7 linked regions of the Xenopus tropicalis genome follow. The protein of the gene in region 7 interacts with the protein of the main gene of each other region in a pairwise test. Links are inferred from orthologs where the notes say so. Each region holds a gene or a part of one and is shown on either strand. Other genes may lie near its edges. The genes, in order: tor1aip1, sncaip, phactr3, sh3rf2, ppp1r9b, aatk and ppp1ca.

Evidence for each region.
Region 1: the proteins of ppp1ca (region 7) and tor1aip1 interact in a two-hybrid assay, tested with the Homo sapiens proteins (2 studies listed by BioGRID and IntAct). The link is inferred for Xenopus tropicalis from reciprocal best matches to the Homo sapiens genes PPP1CA and TOR1AIP1.
Region 2: the proteins of ppp1ca (region 7) and sncaip interact in a two-hybrid assay, tested with the Homo sapiens proteins (2 studies listed by BioGRID and IntAct). The link is inferred for Xenopus tropicalis from reciprocal best matches to the Homo sapiens genes PPP1CA and SNCAIP.
Region 3: the proteins of ppp1ca (region 7) and phactr3 interact in a two-hybrid assay, tested with the Homo sapiens proteins (2 studies listed by BioGRID and IntAct). The link is inferred for Xenopus tropicalis from reciprocal best matches to the Homo sapiens genes PPP1CA and PHACTR3.
Region 4: the proteins of ppp1ca (region 7) and sh3rf2 interact in binary tests that used the Homo sapiens proteins (3 or more experiments, as listed by UniProt). The link is inferred for Xenopus tropicalis from reciprocal best matches to the Homo sapiens genes PPP1CA and SH3RF2.
Region 5: the proteins of ppp1ca (region 7) and ppp1r9b interact in binary tests that used the Homo sapiens proteins (3 or more experiments, as listed by UniProt). The link is inferred for Xenopus tropicalis from reciprocal best matches to the Homo sapiens genes PPP1CA and PPP1R9B.
Region 6: the proteins of ppp1ca (region 7) and aatk interact in binary tests that used the Homo sapiens proteins (3 or more experiments, as listed by UniProt). The link is inferred for Xenopus tropicalis from reciprocal best matches to the Homo sapiens genes PPP1CA and AATK.

What each region holds. Positions count from the first base shown.
Region 1 is NC_030680.2:101,249,751-101,253,835, reverse strand, and holds the start of tor1aip1 (torsin-1A-interacting protein 1), read left to right. Parts: upstream 1-1,285; 5' UTR 1,286-1,550; coding exon 1,551-1,584; exon of another isoform or gene 1,585-1,588; intron 1,589-1,635; exon of another isoform or gene 1,636-1,745; intron 1,746-2,559; coding exon 2,560-2,604; intron 2,605-3,229; coding exon of another isoform or gene 3,230-3,232; coding exon 3,233-3,274; intron 3,275-4,085. UniProt on the Homo sapiens protein: Required for nuclear membrane integrity. Induces TOR1A and TOR1B ATPase activity and is required for their location on the nuclear membrane. Binds to A- and B-type lamins. Possible role in membrane attachment and assembly of the nuclear lamina.
Region 2 is NC_030677.2:169,743,172-169,747,216, forward strand, and holds the start of sncaip (synphilin-1), read right to left. Parts: upstream 2,801-4,045; 5' UTR 2,678-2,800; intron 1-2,677. UniProt on the Homo sapiens protein: Isoform 2 inhibits the ubiquitin ligase activity of SIAH1 and inhibits proteasomal degradation of target proteins. Isoform 2 inhibits autoubiquitination and proteasomal degradation of SIAH1, and thereby increases cellular levels of SIAH.
Region 3 is NC_030686.2:3,418,816-3,422,315, reverse strand, and holds part of phactr3 (phosphatase and actin regulator 3), read right to left. Parts: intron 3,138-3,500; coding exon 2,979-3,137; intron 1-2,978.
Region 4 is NC_030679.2:39,625,394-39,628,893, reverse strand, and holds part of sh3rf2 (E3 ubiquitin-protein ligase SH3RF2), read right to left. Parts: intron 3,492-3,500; 5' UTR 3,442-3,491; coding exon 3,064-3,441; intron 1-3,063. UniProt on the Homo sapiens protein: Has E3 ubiquitin-protein ligase activity. Acts as an anti-apoptotic regulator of the JNK pathway by ubiquitinating and promoting the degradation of SH3RF1, a scaffold protein that is required for pro-apoptotic JNK activation.
Region 5 is NC_030686.2:18,323,232-18,326,731, reverse strand, and holds part of ppp1r9b (neurabin-2), read right to left. Parts: intron 3,457-3,500; coding exon 3,227-3,456; intron 119-3,226; coding exon 22-118; intron 1-21. UniProt on the Homo sapiens protein: Seems to act as a scaffold protein in multiple signaling pathways. Modulates excitatory synaptic transmission and dendritic spine morphology. Binds to actin filaments (F-actin) and shows cross-linking activity. Binds along the sides of the F-actin.
Region 6 is NC_030686.2:26,681,854-26,685,353, reverse strand, and holds part of aatk (serine/threonine-protein kinase LMTK1), read right to left. Parts: intron 2,687-3,500; coding exon 1-2,686. UniProt on the Homo sapiens protein: May be involved in neuronal differentiation.
Region 7 is NC_030685.2:492,457-494,965, reverse strand, and holds part of ppp1ca (protein phosphatase 1, catalytic subunit, alpha isozyme), read right to left. Parts: intron 2,456-2,509; coding exon 2,324-2,455; intron 2,245-2,323; coding exon 2,014-2,244; intron 1,939-2,013; coding exon 1,834-1,938; intron 616-1,833; coding exon 392-615; intron 1-391. UniProt on the Homo sapiens protein: Protein phosphatase that associates with over 200 regulatory proteins to form highly specific holoenzymes which dephosphorylate hundreds of biological targets.

The sequences.
Region 1 (4,085 bases), on a different chromosome or scaffold from region 7:
GACTTCCTTTGGCTCCCCTTCAGCTTTCTCCAGCCCCCCCCAGCGACTTGCTCTGGCTCCCCTGTAGCTTCCTTCAGCCCCCCCCCCCCAGCGAATTCCTCTGGCTCCCCTGTGGCTTCCTCCAGCCCCCCAGCAACTTCCTCCAGCCCCCCCCCCCCAGAGACTTCCTCTGGCTCCACTGCGGCTTCCTCCAACACCCCACCCCCAGTGACTTCCTCTGGTTCCCTGGGGCTTCCTCCAGCCCCACCCCCAGCGACTTCCTCTAGCTCCCCTGTGGCTTCCTCCAACACCCCAGCCCCCCCAGAGACTTCCTCTGGCTCCCCTGCGGCTTCCTCCAACACCCCAGCCCCCCCAGAGACTTCCTCTGGCTCCCCTGTGGCTTCCTCCAACACCCCAGCCCCCCCAGCGACTTCCTCTGGCTCCACTGCGGCTTCCTCCAACACCCCACCCCCAGTGACTTCCTCTGGTTCCCTGGGGCTTCCTCCAGCCCCACCCCCAGCGACTTCCTCTAGCTCCCCTGCGCTTTCCTCCAGCCCCTCCCCCAGCGACTTCCTCTGGCTCCCCTGTGGCTTCCTCCAGCCCCCCCAGCGACTTCCTCTGGCTCCCCTGCGGCTGCCTCCAACACCCCAGCGACTTCCTTTGGCTCCCCTTCAGCTTTCTCCAGCCCCCCCCCAGCAACTTGCTCTGGCTCCCCTGTAGCTTCCTTCAGCCCCCCCCCCCAGCGAATTCCTCTGGCTCCCCTGTGGCTTCCTCCAGCCCCCCCAGCAACTTCCTCCAGCCCCCCCCCCCAGAGACTTCCTCTGGCTCCACTGCGGCTTCCTCCAACACCCCACCCCCAGTGACTTCCTCTGGTTCCCTGGGGCTTCCTCCAGCCCCACCCCCAGCGACTTCCTCTAGCTCCCCTGTGGCTTCCTCCAACACCCCAGCCCCCCCAGAGACTTCCTCTGGCTCCCCTGCGGCTTCCTCCAACACCCCAGCCCCCCCAGAGACTTCCTCTGGCTCCCCTGCGGCTTCCTCCAACACCCCAGCCCCCCCAGCGACTTCCTCTGGCTCCACTTCGGCTTCCTCCAACACCCCACCCCCAGTGACTTCCTCTGGTTCCCTGGGGCTTCCTCCAGCCCCACCCCCAGCGACTTCCTCTAGCTCCCCTGTGGCTTCCTCCAACACCCCAGCCCCCCCAGAGACTTCCTCTGGCTCCCCTGCGGCTTCCTCCAACACCCCAGCCCCCCCAGAGACTTCCTCTGGCTCCCCTGCGGCTTCCTCCAACACCCCAGCCCCCTCAGAAACTTCCTCTGACTCCCCTGCGGCTTCCTCCAGCTACACCCACGTAACGGAGACATCATTACGTCTTCACGTTTTATGACGTCACTTGCGGCCGTTCGCAACTAGGAACTAGCAGCTACCCTCTTCCTGCATCGGCTTCGCTAAACGTTGTGGTGCGTCAGTCATAGTTTACCGTCGGAAACGTGGGTTAAGTTGGAGTGGTTCCGCATCAAGTAAAGTGATTTTATCGTGGTCAACGGTGTCATAGCTAAGGACAGTCGTCAACAATGAGCGTTCACGGAGGTAAAACAACCAACACCGGTAGGTAAGCCAAGCCCCAGACAGGAGAAGATACACTCCCTAAACGCGTTCATAAATTGTATTAGTTGGGTCACGGCAGAGGCCCAGAAGGAGTTCGCTTTATAGAATCGAAAGCGAAAGAAGTTGTCAGCCCGCGCTTTCAATCCATTTTAAATGCTTTTGTATGAAGCGATTATGAATGTATTATATCTGCTTTTTACGATCTGATCTTTCTAAGACTGTGTATATGAGAATTAGTAGATACCGAGGATCATATACACAGTCTTAATAATTTATTAATTCGCTATTTGTCCTATTTATCACTGTAGGGGGGGGGGGGCAGGTTCAGCTGTAAACGTTATAGTCTTTGCTGGGGCCCTGTCAAATCAATATTTATTTCTATATAGTTTGCTTTTATCTGGGGGTATGTCAGAGGTGGCTCCTGTTACACCTGCAAGTAGCCCCAGAAGCAAAAGTGAAATTCTGATGTTAGCCCTGAATCCTAGCACTTTTTGAAGGATTTCTATTTGACAGTATTTAGGACAAACCAATGCGGTTTTTACATTTTACTTAAATTTGTTTAAGCAAATTAGGGGTTGCATTCTCTTCTGCATACAGATTATTCTTTTGTGGAGGATTCAGTATTTAACCAACCCAAAAAATTGTGGATTTGGGGCAACAAGACGCACCAGCCTTTTTTAATGAATTCGTTTCATCACCAGAGTTGTGGGCTAATAAAAACAGAACCTATAGAGGAAGCAGGGGGCGCAGACTGCAGTGTCTGTTTCATCTATAGTTGTCAGAAATCCCCCAATCCCCAGCTGCTATCTTATCTACCCTGGGGAGCAAGGGTAGTGTGCTGAGCCCTTCCGAAGATTCTTTGCTGGGGGCCAAGCACAAATTTGTTACGCCACTGTCTCTTAATTTTAGATAAGATACAGAAATATATAAAACAGAAATGTTATTCTTCTATTACTGTTTATGTCTTTTCTCTAGATGCTTATGTCTCAAGAAATGATGAGGAAGAAGCACCTTTTTTAGGTAATGCAGATTTCAGGATCTAAATATGTCTGCCTCATCGCGGTGACGTGACACGAGAACGCAGCAAGGAGCGGGAGGACACAGTGGGGAGATGGGAGAGGGAGTGGGGGAGCCGGGAGAGGGAGAATGTTAGAGCAGGCCATAGTTTTAGGACGCAGATGGGAGCAGGCAGTGAGAGTGGGCCATAGTTTGAGGACTCAGCAGGGAGCTGGAGCAGGCTGTAGTTTGTGGGGTGGGTTATAGACTAGAGACTATATTCCAGCCCCCCAAAAGTCTGAGGGACCATGAACTGGCCCCTGTTTAAAAGTTTGAGGACCCCTGTTTTATAGCATTGAGAGTGCCATGTGTGTCTATTCCTGCCCTATGGTTAGATATCTTTAGGGATGTGTCATGCAGCATGACACCAGGTTCTTTTTGACTTAAAAGTGCATCACACTTCATCCCTACAATGATCACCACATTCTAAGTCCCTATATTGGGAACTGCCCCATATATTTTATTTTTTAGAATTCATGAATTCTGAGAAATGTTTTAGGAGAGTATTAGATAATTTTGGGTTAGATAAATCTCCCTGTAAGTGAAATGTTATAATTATGCTGGTTCTCCCTTTCTCTCCTATTTGCAGCAGACATGAAGTTGACAAGAAATTCAATCAGGTCTTCCAATCGAGGTAAAATATTTGGTCACAAAATTTTTTTTATTGCTTCTGGCTATACAAAATGAGGTAGAACTCTGCTTTTGATTTTATTTTTAAAGCTTATAGTAAGGTTCCTATCAATCCTTATATGAATCCCTAATGAACTGACTTTCAGAATGCTGGTCCCTGGTAAACTATGATATGGTAAACATTCCCCACCTGATGGCCTTAACCTTTAACATTCCCTGTTGGATTGGGTTTTCACTTGTCGACTTTGAGCAGCACAAATCTGATCTGCCTGCACTTAGCCACAGAATAATAGAAACTTTTTTGTAGCAGCTACTTTGGGCTGTGTTCTTTTTTACCTGCAGCGCTGAGCAATCTAATCTTCCTGCACTACTAATTGCTGTAGGCAGAGAAGCACAGATTGGTAGCTGCTGTGTCAAGCTTTTTATTACTTGCTAGATCAGGACAGGTAAATTGGATCAATCATTATAGTGTATTGTTGCTTAGCAAGGGTAAATGAAATGCAAGATGCGGGATGTGCTGGAGGAAATAAATGAGTAGACAGAGAAGAGAAAAAAAAAGTAGACAAGCATAACCTTGGATAATGAGGGGAAAAGAATTAGAAGTTAATAATGAGTAACAAGCTAAGGAAATCAAAATGGAGAAGTAATGGAAAGGAGAAAAGATAAACAGGTAGGAGAAATAATAAAAATATAGGAAAGCACAGCAGGAAAGGGGGAGGAAAGAAGAGAACAGATGCAGAGATAAAATATATGTAGAAGTAAAAAGAGTACAAAGAAAGGTAAAAGAATGGAAAAGTGGTTGCAAGCAGGGCTGG
Region 2 (4,045 bases), on a different chromosome or scaffold from region 7:
CATAAGGGGAGTCTGCAGCCAGGTGTTCAGTCCCATTGCAAACATGTAAAATTGAGAAAACTCTTTCAAATATGCACATTGCTTATAACTGCAAATTTGTCAGCAGCATGTAGTAAATGTCACACCCACCGGGGATAATCTCTTGGTACATATAAACTGCATGTTTGCAAAATGACTCTTTCTTTGGAGTAAATAATTTTAATTAAAAGGCATCTTTGACTGGGGTTTAAAAACAAGAGCTACATAGTAACATAGTAAGTTGGGTTGAAAAAAGACATACGTCCATCACGTTCAACCATAATTACCACTATTATTTATTTCAGCAGTTAAACTACAACTCTCAGCATCCCTGACAGCATTCTTCTGCTGGTGGGAGCTTTGAGCTGTATAATTATTGAAAGGCTGAAAGATGGGTGCCACTTACAGAAGGTACTACTGCCACCACCTTACCCTTCTTTACCTGCTGTATACAACAACAGTCCCTTCCATACACTTTTCCCCCTAGTGCTGTTTGGGTGGTGTTGCATTATCATGCCTGCTACTAATGATGCCTGCACACTCAAAAGCTGAATATGTTGTATGTTTCTGAGATTTCTCATACTCAGGTTGGTCACTCCTGCTTGAACCCCTAAGGAGAGAACTCTTAGTGGCAACGCAATTATGTTTGGGGATGGTTATTCTCTGACACTGTTAATATGCTATCTAGACCAGAGCTGTGCAACCTATGGCCTATCAGCTGTTGCAGAACCTGGCTGTGTGAGGATGATGGGAATAAATCAGAGCTGAAGGCCTGAAAGCCCTTGATCTAGATTGAAATTTGCTTTTAAAACGAATTCCACTCTCTGTTTTGCTGCTGTACACAGTGATAATACTGGGATATATATCATTCTAGAGTTTTGTGGAACCGTGTAGCCCAAAATATTGGGGTTCACAACTAAACTGAGAAAGACAAGAGCAGAATTTCCTATAAAGCAGAGTGCCTCACAGTACAGCTAAACAGTACCATAATGAGCACCAGAATTCCAGCTCCTGCGGCACTCCTAATCCCAGGCATGCATACCCTTGTAGCATTTATTAATAGCAATCTGATACCTGCAATTGCTTGCATGTGAGTTATATGGTTATTTTTCAGCCTACTCGCCAAGTTAGGTTATTCTTTCAAATGTCAAGCCGCACATGAAATATGTCCATTTAAATTGCTTTCTTTAAAATCCTCTGTGCTCTTCTAGAGCTTCTTTAGCAGTCCTTCAATAAATGAAATGAGGCAGACTGCAATAGGTCTCCTGGTTAACCCCATGTGGTACAATGGAGCTTCAGAAATCCAACTGATGGTATCAATATCGACCCCCCCCCCATAAAAAATACCAGTAGTGATTTCATTTAGTGCCATATTGCTTATTCACAAAGGCTACTCCAACTCCCACCATCCCCTGACAGCTATCCCACAACACATTATGGGGGGCAGGCACTAAACATTAGAAATCATTGATGAAAAACATGCGAGGAAAGACAGCGCAGCATTCCAAACCTGGAAATAGGGAACAATGTGGTTTCAGAGCAGGATCAAGTCTCACTGAGGAGAAACATACGCTACCAAGGGAAAAAAAGGTATCCGAATGTATACAGAACATCCTGTCACACAAGGCATTCTGTACCATGGAATGGCAAGGTGCCACAACTGGAGTCATTCATCTCCCCAGCAGCATGGGGTCAGAGCTCGGAGGTACATCAGATAAGAACCCCTGAGGGAGTGTGTTGGGATGAAGTGAGCCCTCTAATTGGAATAAAGTGAGCTCTCTGACAGCGCCTTTAAGAGCAACGTCCCCCAGCCGAGCAAACAATACAAAGGGCACAGTACCTTTTCTGCATCAGCTGTGTACAGTGCTCTATTGTAATCTTGTCGTTTGCTATCCCTTTGTTCTAAGGCAAAGTAAAATGCAAATCATAACAATTACTTCAGTGATGCCATTGTAGCAGGGCACAGCATTATCAAAGCCCTGATTTGGTGCAAGGTTGCTTTAAATAATGGTATTCTTCAGTTTTTGGGCTGGTATGTTGCTCACATGACATCATAAATAGCACAATATCTTTGTCATACATGGGCTTCATATTCATTTAGCACGGTTAAAACTAAAGGCTGGTATGGGAGCAGAAATGCATAATATGGGGCCCTCCAGCTTCTGTTGGACTCCATCTCCCAGAATCCCCTGACAGTCATGCATTGGATTATGGTACCCCCCAGGCTTGGGTATTTCATGGTATTCAGTGTTACACATAATGTCTTCTTTACAACCTAGACAGCACTGCAAGCCAGGCTGCCACCATCTATAGTAGCCAACAGACACTTTGGAAGATAAATCAATGATGGCCAGTAAAATCACATCCTGGCTATGAAGATAATGAGATTCAGCGTGCAGTACCCCAGTACATTGTAGCCTTTCTGAAAGGAGCAGCACAAAAGGAACAGGCACCGTTACTATAGATACAATTAGCATCTGCTCCCCAGACAAAAAGTCCCTTCCCTCAGTGAGGGATGCAGAGAAGCGGTACTACAGCGCTACCCATCATCCTGTCAATAGGATCCCGGCAAATAGGTAACAGCCCGTCACTCCTGGAATGTACCACCTCTCTTAGAGTCCCCTTTTTTCCATTCTGCCAAAGCAAACTTTCATCTTACCTTTGCCTTGCCTGGACCTGTCTCCTGTATTCACCTTGTGCAAAAGCCTTGTCCACTGGCAGTCCCGGCACTCCAGTACAGTAAGCAGAAATGCAATGAAAACGGCCTCCCATACAGCGGCAGCCTTACACACACATATGGGCCTGCCTCATAGGCACATAGGGTTAACTGTGGCAGAAAGGCCACACCTCCAGCGGCTGATTGGGTTCAGCTGTGGAATAGAAACCTGAGCCAGGGCTAGCCACTCCCTATTAGGTCAATAGCACGGCCCTGCTTCTTAGCAATGAGGCGTCGAGCTATTGCAGAAAGGCAGAGCTGGGGAGCTGCTGGGAGCGCTGAGGGAAGGTGCGCAGCAGGGTTGCAGCACTGACCCGCTTTTATTAGTGACCGCATTGTAATTGTGTCCTGCAGTACCGCCACTATCGGGACGTGAAGCCTGTCTGTAATGCTCCTTCAGCTAAGCAACAATGAAAAGACTCATCAGGTTGTGCTGGGAAGAGATTCCCTCATAAGGGTGTATTAAAACCATCAGCATGCAGTGCAAAGCATATAGGCATACATTTCCCTGATTTTACCTTTTCTAGGATCTTACACCATTTTTTCTGGTCCACTGAAAAACGTAAAATTGGGGTTGTACGGTGTTATGTTCCGTATGGGTTTTGCAGAGTGATGCTATGTATATGTATTGTAACATCGAAGGAAAACACAACTCTTGATATGTTAGTAATGCCAGTGTAACCTGGCAGTATCACAGCTTTGACTGGGTGCAGGGACACTATAATAAATATGGTGCATAGTTTATTTTTTACAAAGCTTTGCAAGAAATTGGATGGCATGTGGCGGTTGCGCACAGAGTGACTTCTGACTTTTTGGTGAAAATCTACAAAAAAAATCTACAGATCTAAGCATTCAATGTAGTAGAGGGTAAGCTTACCAGTATATTAGGTTGGTCCAGGTGCTCATGCCCCAGGCCCTCAGCATAAGGGAGTCCTTATTGGAGAAAAGAAAATGCAAAGCAGGCAAGGCACTCCAGAATCATAGTTGAAGAACTCAGGTATAGAGTAAAATCATTGTAACTTAATTAGTTATATTACATAAATGCTATAAAGCCTTTATGACTTTTTGGTGCCCATGATTTTCAGTAGCTCTGCAGGAGGTGATAGGAAACCACTGCTTGCTATGGCAATAGTCTCACAGGCTTTGTCAGTCAACTGTAGATTGGAATGCCTTTTTAGAGCAGGATCAAGTATCACTACCAGCACATATGTCTCTGCCTCTGACTGCCTTGGCCCTACCTACAACTTAATACACTGACATTACAGACACCTCCCTGAACAGTGCCCACTGCTTCTCTGTAATGCACCTTCA
Region 3 (3,500 bases), on a different chromosome or scaffold from region 7:
GAAATAGAAAACAATGATGGGATTAACTTCCCCTTGAAAGTGGGTGAAATGGAAACCAATGATGGAATTGACTTCCCCTTGAAAGTGGGTGAAATAGAAAACAATGATGGTATTAACTTCCCCTTGAAAGTGGGTGAAATAGAAAACAATGATGAGATTAACTTCCCCTTGAAAGTGGGTGAAATAGAAAACAATGATGGGATTAACTTCCCCTTGAAAGTGAGTGAAATAGAAAACAATGATGGGATTAACTTCCCCTTGAAAGTGAGTGAAATAGAAAACAATGATGGAATTGACTTCCCCTTGAAAGTGAGTGAAATAGAAAACAATGATGGGATTAACTTCCCCTTGAAAGTGAGTGAAATAGAAAACAATGATGGGATTAACTTCCCCTTGAAAGTGAGTGAAATAGAAAACAATGATGGGATTAACTTCCCCTTGAAAGTGGGTGAAATAGAAAACAATGATGGAATTGACTTCCCCTTGAAAGTGAGTGAAATAGAAAACAATGATGGGATTAATTTCCCCTTGAAAGTGGGTGAAATAGAAACAATGATGGGATTAACTTCCCCTTGAAAGTGAGTGAAATAGAAAACAATGATGGGATTAACTTCCCCTTGAAAGTGGGTGAAATAGAAAACAATGATGGGATTAACTTCCCCTTGAAAGTGAGTGAAATAGAAAACAATGATGGGATTAACTTCCCCTTGAAAGTGGGTGAAATAGAAAACAATGATGGAATTGACTTCCCCTTGAAAGTGGGTGAAATAGAAAACAATGATGGGATTAATTTCCCCTTGAAAGTGGGTGAAATAGAAACAATGATGGGATTAACTTCCCCTTGAAAGTGAGTGAAATAGAAAACAATGATGGGATTAACTTCCCCTTGAAAGTGGGTGAAATAGAAAACAATGATGGGATTAACTTCCCCTTGAAAGTGAGTGAAATGGAAACCAATGGTGGGATTAACTTCCCCTTGAAAGTGGGTGAAATAGAAAACAATGATGGGATTAACTTCCCCTTGAAAGTGGGTGAAATAGAAAACAATGATGGGATTAATTTCCCCTTGAAAGTGGGTGAAATAGAAAACAATGATGGGATTAACTTCCCCTTGAAAGTGAGTGAAATGGAAACCAATGGTGGGATTAACTTCCCCTTGAAAGTGGGTGAAATAGAAAACAATGATGGGATTAACTTCCCCTTGAAAGTGGGTGAAATAGAAAACAATGATGGGATTAACTTCCCCTTGAAAGTGAGTGAAATAGAAAACAATGATGGGATTAATTTCCCCTTGAAAGTGGGTGAAATAGAAAACAATGATGGGATTAACTTCCCCTTGAAAGTGAGTGAAATGGAAACCAATGGTGGGATTAACTTCCCCTTGAAAGTGGGTGAAATAGAAAACAATGATGGGATTAACTTCCCCTTGAAAGTGGGTTAAATAGAAAACAATGATGGGATTAACTTCCCCTTGAAAGTGGGTGAAATAGAAAACAATGATGGGATTAATTTCCCCTTGAAAGTGAGTAAAATAGAAAACAATGATGGGATTAACTTCCCCTTGAAAGTGGGTGAAATAGAAAACAATGATGGGATTAACTTCCCCTTGAAAGTGAGTGAAATAGAAAACAATGATGGAATTGACTTCCCCTTGAAAGTGGGTGAAATAGAAAACAATGATGGGATTGACTTCCCCTTGAAAGTGAGTGAAATAGAAAACAATGATGGAATTGACTTCCCCTTGAAAGTGGGTGAAATAGAAAACAATGATGGAATTAATTTCCCCTTGAAAGTGGGTGAAATAGAAACAATGATGGGATTAACTTCCCCTTGAAAGTGAGTGAAATAGAAAACAATGATGGGATTAACTTCCCCTTGAAAGTGGGTGAAATAGAAAACAATGATGGGATTAATTTCCCCTTGAAAGTGGGTGAAATAGAAAACAATGATGGGATTAACTTCCCCTTGAAAGTGGGTGAAATAGAAAACAATGATGGGATTAACTTCCCCTTGAAAGTGAGTGAAATAGAAAACAATGATGGGATTAACTTCCCCTTGAAAGTGGGTGAAATAGAAAACAATGATGGGATTAATTTCCCCTTGAAAGTGGGTGAAATAGAAAACAATGATGGGATTAACTTCCCCTTGAAAGTGAGTGAAATAGAAAACAATGATGGGATTAATTTCCCCTTGAAAGTGGGTGAAATAGAAAACAATGATGGGATTAACTTCCCCTTGAAAGTGAGTGAAATGGAAACCAATGGTGGGATTAATTTCCCCTTGAAAGTGGGTGAAATAGAAAACAATGATGGGATTAACTTCCCCTTGAAAGTGAGTGAAATGGAAACCAATGGTGGGATTAACTTCCCCTTGAAAGTGAGTGAAATAGAAAACAATGATGGGATTAACTTCCCCTTGAAAGTGAGTGAAATAGAAAACAATGATGGGATTAACTTCCCCTTGAAAGTGGGTGAAATAGAAAACAATGATGGGATTGACTTCCCCTTGAAAGTGGGTGAAATAGAAAACAATGAGGGGATTAACTTCCCCTTGAAAGTGTGTGAAATAGAAAACAATGATTGGATTAACTTCCCCTTGAAAGTGTGTGAAATAGAAAACAATGATGGAATTGACTTCCCCTTGAAAGTGAGTGAAATGGAAACCAATGATGGGATTAACTTCCCCTTGAAAGTGAGTGAAATGGAAACCAATGATGGGATTAACTTCCCCTTGAAAGTGAGTGAAATGGAAACCAATGATGGGATTAACTTCCCCTTGAAAGTGAGTGAAATGGAAACCAATGATGGGATTAACTTCCCCTTGAAAGTGAGTGAAATGGAAACCAATGATGGGATTTCCCCGTGAGAATGAGCCCCTAAGCGTCAAGTGCTAATGTCAGTGGAAGAATGAGTAAAGGGTAAGTAAACCTGCCCATTGGTTAGCTGTACAGTGGGGATGGGGATTATTCCAGTTCTTACCCGTCGTTTGCTTCAATTTCTCATTCTTTTTTTTCCTCCACTTCCAGGGCTTGAAGATCCGGCCCAGTGTGGCCAACTTGCTGTTCCGCCGGGCGGGGGGCGTGCGAGTCCCTGAGAGCACGTATTCTGCGCGCAGCGCCGGGGACTGGGCCATCTCCTCTGGGAGAGAAGGAACAAACTGGGAGTGAAACGCAGACCAGTTCCCTTCAGCCTCCATCTCTCTATGTCTCCGTATCCCACGGCAACCGCAGGCTGCTGAGAGTCGGAGCACAGCAATGACCAGAGACTACTCCTGCAGCAGAACTATACCCAATGCTCTGCCCCAATCAGGAACAACCAGCTAATCAGCTGCCATGGTGCACTTTAAAGGGCAACTCCACCCAAAAGCAGGGTTTATTCCCAATATACATAGAGGGACAGGGGGAGAGCTGATACAGCGGGGCAACATGGCAGCACCGAGGTCAGAGTGTGGAATTATGGGATAGGTTTCTGTAATCTTCTCTCTGCCCCTTAATTACTGAG
Region 4 (3,500 bases), on a different chromosome or scaffold from region 7:
TGGCAGCAGCTGCCTTTGAAGATAGTTAATAATGCTGGCAGTGGTTCTTTTAACAATAAAGGGATTGGTTAAAGTGACTATGGATAATCTTTTCCCCCTTTATTTTAAAGTAAGCACTGCCCACGTTGTTAGGGTTAATTATATGTTCACATTAAATATAATCCTGATTGAAATTTGATGATGTCTTGAAAACACCAGACACAAAGCTTCATCATATACCATCTAAATCTCAGTTTCCAGTTAACCGTAAGAACTAGATGCATTTTCTGTTGGCATAAATACAAGAAGAACTATTCCCAGCTGCAGCTGCTGAGAAGCACTGAGGCTGGGTGGTGGAGTTATATGCTAGCTTGGCACAGAAACAAGATCAGAGTCAAACTTCCAGCTTAAAAGAAGCACAAGTGTTGGGGCGGCGGGTGGTTGGCATGTTACAACATATACTTCATTTATTCAGACTTTAGGCAAGCGTTTTGGTATTGTGTTTGGTATCGATGATTGCATTGTTACATAGTTATCTACAAAGTTTAACCCTTAATGAAACCAACTTGGCACCACATATCCAGAGGAAAGCATGTATACTCTTTAGGTAGTCAAAACATTGTTTACTGACAGACTACTAACTGATGGTAAAAGCAGAAAGTATTTTCCATCCAAGAGCCACCAGAGAGAAGAATACTGTATGCCAGTGATCCCCAACCAGTGGCTCAGGAGCAATATATTGCTTAACAACCCCTTGGATGTTGCTCCAAGAGACCTCAAAGCATGTGCTTATTTTCGAATTTATGGCTTAGAGACAAGTTTTGGTTGCATAAAACCCAGGTGTACTGTCAGAGTCTTCTTTAGGCTGCCAGTCCATGTAGGGGCTACCAAATAGCCAATAACAACCCCCTAGGTACATTTTTCATGCTTGTGTTGCTCCCCAACACTTTATAAATTTGAATATGTCTCACAGGTAAAAAAAAGCTTGGAGACCTCTGCTGTATGCAAAGGAGATGTAATCATAAACTTAAAAAAAGGAGAGTTCGTGCTCTGGCTGTTGGCAATTAACAGTTTCTCAGGTGTTTGCCTAGTAGTAAAAGTTTCATCACAGAGCAGCTTGCTCACATCAACCAATACAATTTCTACTTTAAAAATCCTCCTTTGCCCCGTCAGAACTTTATAGAAACACCTTGCCGGGTGCCAAATGGTATATGATAACCTTGTGATAGGATGAACAATTTCATCCAGTGCCACTTGCCGTTGGAACAGAATCTGGCTGTGAATACAACATGTAAGTGAATAAGGTTATAAATATTTGCCTGTGTGTTAAAAAGAAAGAAATTTAAAAGGATAATTACAAGGTTTTGATTGCTTCCTGACAATACAGATGACAAAAAAGATATACAATTGGCTGTGTGTGCATCTGCTGTGCCACACCTGCATTGAACCCAGGATAAGTTACGATTAAAGAAGTTTGCTCTTCTGGAGAAGAAAATCAGATAAAATGAAATGGCCCCATCAGCCAACTAATGGACAGAGTTCTGTCTTTTCTCCCACACTACTTCCTGTTACAGTCAGAGCTGCATTATTTCCTGTCAGGTGATCTCTGAGGGAGCACACAGCCCATCACTTAATGGCGGCTCAAATGTTTACTGATATATATATTCCAATTTGGTAAGATTGTATGATATAATCTGTTGGCTAAGTATTTATTCTAGGGATATAGTCCTTCTTTAACACTTTTGCACTTCCACATACATGCTTTGCAGTTAAGGGCTCTCCTCTGCACTGGCAACTTTTGTGGCCGGTGCAGAGAGTCAGATGTGCCCCCAACACATTGAGCTAGGGAGCTGCCAAGTCAGTGACACAATTGTTGCACGACCTGACTTCTATTTTTGTGCATAACATAATTGATGCTTCATTTATATTGATTGATGTTTGTATTTATATTACGGAAAAAACACGTTTTCCTTCATTTTTAGACACTTAGAAGCCTATATCTTGTTACAGAAGTGGAATTCACAAAAATTCTGTTTTCCAAGGTAAACTAAAATTACCCCTAGGAAAGGCCCCTAAAGTGAAAAATGTTAAAAAATGGTCAGACAGTAAAAGTACCTCCATGACCGGCTGGCAGTTAAAGAGTATTATAAATGTATATGTATAAATGTATTGCAGCATTTTACCAGGCTACTTTTTAAAAATCTTATTGGTAGCTATGGGTTACTAGACCTGGAATAAACTTTGCACTTTTTATTACATGACATAAATGGAAAAAAACATGCCCTAGGTATGTATAAAATGCAATATTTTAAGTATCAAATACAAAACAATGCCTATTTTTTTCTTAAATTAGGATTTGGAAGAGCATCTGGTGCATTATACCAAGCCATATGTTCTGCTGACTTCTTAAATAGTTATTTAGACCCTTAGGTAAAATGTTGATTTAGAGCTAATAATACCCAATCTCAAGACATATCCCTTATGCAGATGATCAAGATTTATGAGCAGTCATCATGAATCCGTGATTATCCCTGTTGTGTGATAACAGGATAAAAAAAGCCGCATTGAATTGACATTCAGCGCTGAGCGTTCTTGCATAAATGCACTGTGATTTTTTTTCATTAATTCATCTAATGCAAGCAACATGGAAGCGACATATGGATTTTAACCTCTTATTGAAAAAATATGTATGACTTAATGTCGATGACTTACACGTCTCAATATCGATGATGTTGAGACATGTAAAAGGTGCTTTTATAAGATGTAATATTATTCTGGTTTCTGCCGTCTTATGCAAGACAAGATTTCACAACCATATAGACAAAACAACCTTTACCATTTCATATCAATCACTTAAATTGTGGCAGTGGAGGTATCACCCATCCCCTTCCCACTGAAAGAAATCAGAAAAAGCCCTATAACTGCACTAGGAAATTACTCTAAACTGCGTAGCTTTACTATCTGTAATATTATGTAGCTATTCTTGCTTTTTATTGTAGCTATGTAGCTATTCTGGTGTTTTATTTAGAATGCCATATGGTTTCACCCACTTAATTATAGAGAAATTACAGCCTATTTTCTTACCCCATCTACAGGCATCCTGGCCTTGGAAATGGTCCTACTTGTAGAATCCTGGCTTGCTCTGTTTGCTTTGCTCTTCTTTAAAGAATCTTGGGCAAAGAGTCCCCCCATCCTCCGTGAGGAGTTTCTTCTCAGAAGGGTTTGCCCACCTCTCAAGCCATCTAGTATTCGTACTAATAATAAGTTGGCTGGCAGCTCTTCAATGCTGCATTGTACAGGGGTCCTGCATTCTGGGCATTTCAGTTCCTTTTTGGCTTTAAATAGTCTCTGCAGACAAGGCTGGCAAAAGGTATGTTGGCATGGCAGCACCTTGGCATTAACATCCAATTTTCCAAGGCATAAGGGGCAATCCAGGAGGTCAAGAACAACCAATTCATCCATCTTATTCGAAATATGCAGTTAAACCAAAGATGATGAAGGCTTCATAGTCACTAAAACAA
Region 5 (3,500 bases), on a different chromosome or scaffold from region 7:
TGAAGGAAGCCAGAGACGCACCTTCTCTTGTAGCCTCTGAATCTCTGTAGCATGTGCAGTTTCAACCTCCTCCAGTGTCTGTTTCTGCATTTCTTCTTTCTTCAGGAAGTCCAGCTCCCTGTGGGCAAAAGGGTGGCAACCTTTATAGATAGCATAAATGAGTGAATATATTGGAAATGTAGAGCTGGTACATTTGGCAGGAGGGTGATATAGAGCCAGTGAGGGGGAAGCCATGGGGGTGAAGGATGAAAAAGCTGGTGGATAAATAGAAATCAAGATAATATCTGAGTGATGTTCAGTGGGAGGACAAGGGGTAGGAAGGAGTGGAACGAAGCATGCGAAGAGAACACAGAGGTGGAAAATAAGTGGTTTATGTGATGCATTAGTGTCAGTATGTGAGAATATAGAAAAGAGCTCAAGTGGTTGCTGGGAAGGACTGTCAATAAGAAACAATTAAAGGGAGAAAAGATTTAGTAAAGGCACTTGGGTGCGAGGGCGGTGGTGATTATATAGGTGGTAGAGAGTAGGCAGAAAGGATTAGGCATGTGGTTGAGAAAGAAAACAAATGTTGGTATAGGGAATAAAGACTGACTGCGTAAAACAAATTAAAAAAATGGGCAGAAATACAAATTTGATGAAAGAGGAAAGCAACAATGTATGGGAAGATGGTAGGAGCCAGACAATGGGTGACTGTAGAGAAAACACAAGGATACAGGTATTATGCAATTTGAACTACCTGATTAGGGTTGGAGGTGGATATATAGGAGATGCAATTTGGTTGGGAACAGGTCATAGTTTAGAGACCTAACTGTATGGATAAGAAGATGGAAGGGGTTACACAAGATAGAGGAAACAGGTGGATGAATAACAAAAACAGAAGGGAAAAGAGAGATGATAGATAGATAGATACAGTAGATAGATAGATATGAGGATGGTTTGACGGAAGAAAACTTGCCTCATGCTTTCCTGTGTGTGCCTCTGTTTTTGAAAGCCTTGAGTACATCCTTGTGACCCACATTTTGTGCCATTATGTGAGCATATTCCTGATCTATTACAGATTTATTCTGTATTTAATGACCTTCTGGTTTTGATTTCTGGCCTGTAATTGTGACTTGTCTATTTGCTTGCCGCCTGCCCTGACCATTGACTTATTATTTGAATTTGTCTTCCTCCTGCCCTGACTTCTGGCCTGTATTTGAACTTGTGTATTTGCCTGCTCTGTCTTTTTTCAATAACTTCAATATAACTTACTATGTTACTATGTTACTAGGAGCACTGGCCCGGAGTATCAGGTAAGTGGTTACAATCACTGGGTGTGCCTAACATTTGGAACCCCCCATCGTATCTTTCCTTCTACTTTAACATATTCAGGATCCATTAGAATTCATGAAGCCCCTTTCCAATTCATGAGAAGTTATTAACAATTAAGAAAGAAGCATATAGTTGTAGCAAAGAAATTAATAATTCCTTAATTTATAATGAGGATTGGAAATGGTGGTTCTGTAGATATGTGACTTATGTTGTGCTCCTTGCCATCCCTGCAGGAAACACCCACTCTGTTGTCAGTCGCACTGAGCCAAAATTGCACATTTTGCTCTCCTTCCCTGCTGCTCCTATCCACCCCTCATTCTTTTTTTAAACAGATAGCAGAAGCGGGGTTATTTTAGGGAGCAGGGATATTCTGGATTTCCTGACTGACTCATCTGTAACAGGCTGGGTATTTATCACAGTAGCATCATATAACTAGGCATGCTGCTCTTCTCTTGGGCCCCCCCGTATTAGATCTGATCCCACAGTGTGAACTGATCCCATCTGCTTCTCTTTAAGATGCATGATATTCACTCAGTCTGCAGTGTGAAGATACCTTACCTTAGTGATAATACACACCCTTTATTGCTATCCTCATTTATAACTTACTCAGCCTATGCCACTGCTTAGGGGAGCCATGTTTTTGGGCTGTTGTATTTGCATGGCCGGGCTGCTTTTTAAGGCAGCTTTAAGCTTTGTTGCAACCTGGACATGAACCTAGTAGGTGATTTGAAAATGGTGACCAATATTTGGTTCCAACCAAAATCCCTACTATACTTGTTATATAATCCATCTAGTGGTCTTACATACATGCTGCTGTTCTATTACACTCTATACATAATGCCAATGCTGTATGGCACTAGTGGCCAGGTTAAGACCAATGCTTTATGGGGATTATTGCTGAACTCCAGAAGGTCACAGAGCTGACCTGTAGTTATAAGCAACTATATTCTATTCAGATCTACAGAACCCCATGGGGGGGCAGCACACACACAGACCAAGGCTCAGAGCGCCAGTCGCACTTAGAGCTGTGAGTAGACAGGAAAAACATGAAACTTTTATTCTTCCAGTCTCTGATATAAAGTACACATATCCACTAAGGAAAGCATGGTTAGCAAGAAGGGGGTTGCTGGGAACCAGCAACTGGAACAGGCCAGGATTCACAGGAAGCTCATCCTTATATTAAGACTAACACCTTTCACAGAAAAATAAGGTTTTTGTCCCTCATTTCCTGTAACGACCTAAGCTGCCCCTGTGGATGGAGGTTGTTCACATTCATGCCTTATATGTACATCATGGTTTTCTAGTACAGCAACTGCAAAGTGTCCAAGAACAACTTAATACTAAAGGGTAATTTCAAAGGGTGTATGTCTAAATGCTGAACCAGGCAAAAAAGCCAATGTTAATTTTTGTGGGTTCTAGCTTGCTGCATTGGATATAATAAAAAGGATCATAAGGATGGATCTCTAACATTAAACTGCCACACCCCTAGTCAGCCTTGAACAGTTGCAGAGCTGTCAACCAACCCCATGTCATGAGGGTTGGCAGATACTGCAACTGTTATTTGTCAACACGATATTACCAAATAATTCCTGTAGAAACTATGTTATTTTACAGATATTTGCAGTGTACTGCTCTCCAGGCTGCTCACATTATGCCTACCCACACATACTTTATATTTATGCCTGAAGAAGTTTGATTAGCTACCAAGCCTCATCAATGGATGGGCAGAGATACTAAGCTGTGGTCATATATCAAAGAAAGAACCAAGTATAAAAAATATGAAAAGAAGGTTAATGAATAATAGAAAATAAGCAAATCAGTAAGGAAAGAAAGAGAAATTATATGTAGGTGAATAAATAAGAGAAAGCCTGAATGCAAGTACATTGGTAGGTTTCATCTGGGTTTCTGGACTTACTTTTGCTGATAGTCCTTGATGAGTCTTTTTGCTTTGCCATACTTGCGTTCCAGTCCCTGGTGCTGAGCTTGCGTCTCCTTTAAATGCTCATCCACTGCTTGGCACAAATTCTGAGCCTCCATCCAATACCCCTGTAGTTTCTCCACACGTTCCCTATTCTCCTGAACACTTTGCTGCAACTGAGCCTTCTCCATCCTCCAACGAGAACGTTCCTGTTCAAGACCTGCCAGCTACAAGAAGAAAGTTGACAATAAGACAATGAGCAATCTGGGTT
Region 6 (3,500 bases), on a different chromosome or scaffold from region 7:
GCCATGCTCTTCCTCACTTTCCTCGCTGTGTTCCTGGATGTTATAGCACCTGAGTTCTTCATCAGACTCATCACTATCTTCACTTTCTTCATCATCCTCTTCATCCAAAGAATCTCCACCTTTACCATCTTTACGAGGAAGAGGAGGGGAAAGGCATTTTGTAACGTGGTGAGTACTCAGAGTGTCCTTGTTGCAAGAAATCACCTTTTCTTCCATTTGAAGGCCAGTAGTGAGGGTGATACTACCCAGAGTCCCTTGCTTAACAGTGCATTCTTTTGTCAGGCACAACTGAACTGGTGACAGTGTGAAGGTCCTGTGTGAAGATGACTCTACAGATGAAGGCAAAGGAGAAAGTTTTTCAACAGAGTGTTCTTTCTGACATTCAAGACCTAGCCCTTCATCCACTGAGTCTTGCCTCACCATGAGCTGGGGCTGAACTAATAAACAGTCTTTTGGCACAGGTAGAGAAGGTAGAGGTGAACTGTTATCTGGGATTTCCTGGTGCTGAGAAGTTACTGAACCCTTTGTATCAGTTTTTGTATCATCAGAACACTTTTCTAGATTGCAGTCCTGAATCTCCAAAGAATCTTTTTCCTTAGTCACCCCATCTAGTTCTTGATCACCATCAACTTCTTCTTCTTCCCGGGTAAACGACTCATAGTCAGAAAAGTATGCAGAGTCTCTGTATGGATTCTTGGCATCCAAGCCTTGTAGATCACTGCTTACTGATCTAGATATTGGCATTTCTTCTGACCCAAGACCAGTTTCATGATTTCCCTGGCAATAAGTATCAGATTCTCTGCTATCTGTAGGTTCTTTCAGTACAAATTCTGGTGACTCATAGTTTTCAGTATCATAGCCACTATCTAGAGCTTTGTGCTGCCCACAGGGGGTGTATGTTCCGAGGCTGAAGGCCTCACATGAACTGGCAGTGGAAGGCATATCCAGAGAGTCCAAAGAATCTGGAGTGCCAACCTGCTTCTGAAGAGATCTAAAAGTTTGAACAATATCGCCCCTTTCACTGGAAAGATCAGTAAAGACCCCAGAGGTAATCTCCATTGTGTCTTCATCATCACTCTGATATAAATCTGTAGGGAAGGATTCCTCAGGGCTTTCCCTTTCTTTGATGGGTGAAATACATTGACCACTGAATTCATCTGTCAATATCGGTGAACAGATCTCTTGAGAAACATAGTCCCCTTCTTTGGATATATTAAGAGAATGCATGGCTTCTGGTTGTGCAGGGGCAGTACAGTACCCTATTATACTAGCACCAAGTGGATCAGTTTCATGCTCAGACTCTCTGTCAGCATTAGTTTGATGCTCCATAGTAGAAAGAAGGGGTTCTATATATTCTGTGTTCTGGGTTATTTTTAGGTCACTCAATTTTGCTTCTAAAGGCGTTAAAGATATGTCAAGGGTTTTTCCTAACCAATCTTTGAATTTCTCACCATCAACCAAAGTTTTATCATGGCATTCTAACTCTGCCAAACATCCTGTAGGCTCTCCTTCCCCTGATTCCATGTTCTGCCAAGATTCAGGACCATAGGGTTCTTTGTCGACTTTCTGGGAATCGCCAGAACGGCGATTGCACCAGGATGCAGAACTGAAGTCAAGAGGAGTAGTGGAGATATTGTTGTTTGAGGAGATGTTTGATGCCCAGTGGGGGGAAAAGGCCACTAAGTGAGAGGTCACAGTAGGTAGATCTTCCTGAAATTCATTATACTGTTGGGTTTCTCCTTCATTTTCAAGTTTCAGTGTTACAGAATCTACTTGTGTTTCACAAACATTAGATCGTGTATCTTCAGATTCCGAATTCTTTAAAAATGCCACTTGTGCTGAGCCTAAGCTAGCCTGACAAAGCTGCTTCAAATTTGGAGCGACCCCTAGGGGGTCCAAAAATGCAACTGAGCAACATTCTTCTTCTTGTGAGGGTTCTTTCACATGAATCTCTTCTGATGTATCAGCCATTTCAGAACACTCATAGCTTTTCTCTAGAACCTTGTCCTGTTTATTACTGCAGATTGTTTCATCAGTTAAAGGCTCCATAGATAAAGAAATAGAAGGGCTATTGTCACTTAGATCCTCCTCAGTATTCTCCTTTTCTTGTATAGGGTATTCTCCATATTGTGGGCTGCAGTTTTGGTTAACATTGCTGCTTAAAGGTTCTTCAATACGAATATAATAATCTCCTGCCACTGATGGGCTGTGAGCACTAAGAACTGGAACTACCTCAAGTGGACAAGGACCAGAATTTCCCTCCTTACTTTCATAGCACGATGGAGATACTCCTAGACTCAGCCTGTCCCCAGTACTTGAAGTAAAGTACATGTCTTGGTATGCCGGGCAGCCTGGATTTAGAGGGTACTGTTCATGTTTGCCACTCTCCCATTTGTATTCAAAATTTAGTCCCTGACTAGTCTGAGTAACAGTTAGCACATCATCACCATCAGTGTGAAATCCATCAGAGGAAAAGTGCTCGAGCAGTGGGTATGAAGAGAGTTCAGTCTCGTGATGACTACCGCTGCCTGTGCCACCAGTAGGCTTCATAGAATTCCACCGTTTCTCAAACTCCTCCTCCAGCTCGCTGGTTCCTTTCACAGTCAGATAAGAAAGCAGAAGATGTACCTCCTCTGCAGTTGGTCTCTGCTCAGGTTGTAGCCAGCAAAACTGCATTACCTCAAACCTAGAATATAATACATAATTAAATTACTATCATGAGGCTTTACTTCGTATTGTAAAAAAAAACACAATTTAACATTAAAAAATGTGCCTGGTTTGTAATACATTGTGCACAGCAGAGGTTTTCAAACGGTAGGCATAGCCCACCTAGCAGGCCCAGCCTTGAGCCAAATTTGGGTAAGATCTGGGAAGAGTATTTAGTCGCTGTGCTGCAAGCTACTAGAACTATTGAAGGGAGTCTCTTACAATAATGTTATATATCTGACTTTATGAGTTAATGTTATGCTGTATTTCCCTATGGCAAGATTCCCCCACCACAGTTACATTTCAGAATCCACCTCCCTATATTCTACATTGGACACAGGACATTCTGTAACACATCATGGAATCACATTCTAGTACAGTATTAATGATAATAATGTTTTCAGCTCATACTGCAACTGTATAAAATGATGCTACATTTCCATGTGTCAGCTGTCAATATGCCAAGATGGAATACACCATCTTTAGATTTCTGCTCTCTGAAAAGTACTTCCCAAACTGGGAGACTGCTCTTCCTGACAAGACAGAGAGTGGCTAATAGGATACTCTGCTTAAAATGCAGTTAGGTTGCGAATTGAGGTAAAGGTTTATTTTGATAACCTGGGTGTGCCTGAATCTACAGCAGTGTGACTACTAAAGCACTATAACCTTCTAAACAAATGGGACATATTCACTATTGAGCATCTATTGGAATGCAGTTGATGCTGATGAACGTGGCGTAAGTAAATGTACAATTGGACTCACTGTGTGCCACTTTATTCTACTTAATGCACTGG
Region 7 (2,509 bases):
GGGAGAGGAGTAAGGAATGGGCGGAGCAGACGTACCGTGGGGTGGGAATGGGCGGAGCAGACATACCTGGGGTGGGAGAGGAGTAAGGAATGGGCGGAGCAGACATACCTGGGGTGGGAGAGGAGTAAGGAATGGGCGGAGCAGACGTACCTGGGGTGGGAGAGGAGTAAGGAATGGGCGGAGCAGACGTACCTGGGGTGGGAGAGGAGTAAGGAATGGGCGGAGCAGACATACCTGGGGTGGGAGAGGAGTAAGGAATGGGCGGAGCAGACATACCTGGGGTGGGAGAGGAGTAAGGAATGGGCGGAGCAGACGTACCGTGGGGTGGGAATGGGCGGAGCAGACATACCTGGGGTGGGAGAGGAGTAAGGAATGGGCGGAGCAGACGTACCTGGTGAGCTCGGCAGATGAGGTCAAGGTCATGTTTGTGAAGAAATTTTGCTACTACATCAGCCCCAAAGGTGAAGGAGACCCCGCGGTCGTTCTCCCCCCACCCAAGCACATCTTTGTCCGGGTCCGACCACAACAGGTCACACAGGAGCCCCTGGTCCGGTACATCGGTGGGACGCAGGATCCGTCTGACTTGCTCCATGGACTGTAGGTCGGGGGAGAGGCCTGAAACACAAATGGGGATGTGAGTGGGGGGGGGGGGGGCAGGTTCTGATGGATCCAGAGTAGGCACAACTGTATACCGGGGGGGCACACTAGCTGTACAGTATAAGAAGGTGTGGGGTTCCCGGGGGGGCACACTGGCTGTACAATACAAGAAGGTGTGGGGCTCCATGGGGGGGCACACTAGCTGTACAGTATAAGAAGGTGTGGGGTTCCCGGGGGGGCACACTGGCTGTACAATACAAGAAGGTGTGGGCTCCATGGGGGGGGCACACTGGCTGTACAGTATAAGAAGGTGTGGGGTTCCCGGGGGGCACACTGGCTGTACAGTATAAGAAGGTGTGGGGCTCCATGGGGGGGCACACTAGCTGTACAGTATAAGAAGGTGTGGGGTTCCCGGGGGGGCACACTGGCTGTACAGTACAAGAAGGTGTGGGGCTCCATGGGGGGGCACACTGGCTGTACAGTATAAGAAGGTGTGGGGTTCCCGGGGGGGCACACTGGCTGTACAGTATAAGATGATGTGGGGCTCCCGGGGGGGCACACCGGCTGTACAGTATAAGGTGTGGGGCTCCCGGGGGGGGGAACACTGGCTGTACAGTATAAGGTGTGGGGTTCCCGGGGGGGCACACTGGCTGTACAGTATAAGGTTTGGGGCTCCCGGGGGGGGGCACACTGGCTGTACAGTATAAGGTTTGGGGCTCCCGGTGGGGGCACACTGGCTGTACAGTATAAGGTTTGGGGCTCCCGGGGGGGGCACACTGGCTGTACAGTACAAGAAGGTGTGGGGCTCCCGGGGGGGGGGGCACACTGGCTGTACAGTACAAGAAGGTGTGGGGCTCCCGGGGGGGGCACACTGGCTGTACAGTATAAGAAGGTGTGGGGTTCCCGGGGGGAGCACACTGGCTGTACAGTACAAGAAGGTGTGGGGCTCCCGGGGGGGGGCACACCGGCTGTGCAGTATAAGAAGGTGTGGGGCTCCCGGGGGGGGCACACTGGCTGTACAGTACAAGAAGGTGTGGGGCTCCCGGGGGGGGGGGCACACTGGCTGTACAGTATAAGAAGGTGTGGGGCTCCCGGGGGGGGGCACACTGGCTGTACAGTATAAGGTTTGGGGCTCCCGGGGGGGGGGCACACTGGCTAAGAAGGTGTGGGGTGTGTATTCACCCCATTTGGGCTGCCCAGACGAGCCCTGAGGGATGGGGGCAGCAGGGAACTCACCCCCGTGGCAGCAGAAGATCTTCTCATCCACGATGGCGGCCACGGGCAGGCAGTTGAAGCAGTCGGTGAAGGTTTTCCACAGCTTAATGTTGTAGCGCCGCTTACCTGCAGGGGGAGACAGAGGGCATTAGGGAGCGCACTGGTTACCGTGGGTTACAGCCTGGCCCCGCCCCCGCGTACACTCATCGTAGAAGCCGTAGATGCGGTTGATGCTGGCGCACTCGTGGTTCCCGCGCAGCAGGAAGAAGTTCTCGGGGTACTTGATCTTGTAGGCGAGCAGCAGGCAGATGGTCTCCAGCGACTGCTTCCCCCGATCCACGTAATCCCCCAGGAACAGGTAGTTACTCTCGGGGGGGAAGCCCCCATACTCAAACAGGCGCAGCAGGTCGTAGTACTGACCGTGCACATCCCCTGGGGGGAGGAGAGGGAAGCCAATCAGATCCGCAGCTACACACAGAGGCGGAGCCTCGGCACCCAGGGCCCTACTCACCGCAGATCTTCAGCGGGGCCTCCAGCTCCAACAGGATTGGCTGGCTGAGGAAGATCTCGCGGGACTTCAGGCACAGCCCCCGGATCTCATTCTCCGTCAGCTGAACATTCTTCCCAGGGCGGCAGCCTTTAACTGTAGGGGGGGAGGAACAGGCCAGTCAGGAACTGGGGAGGGGGGGCCCCGTTA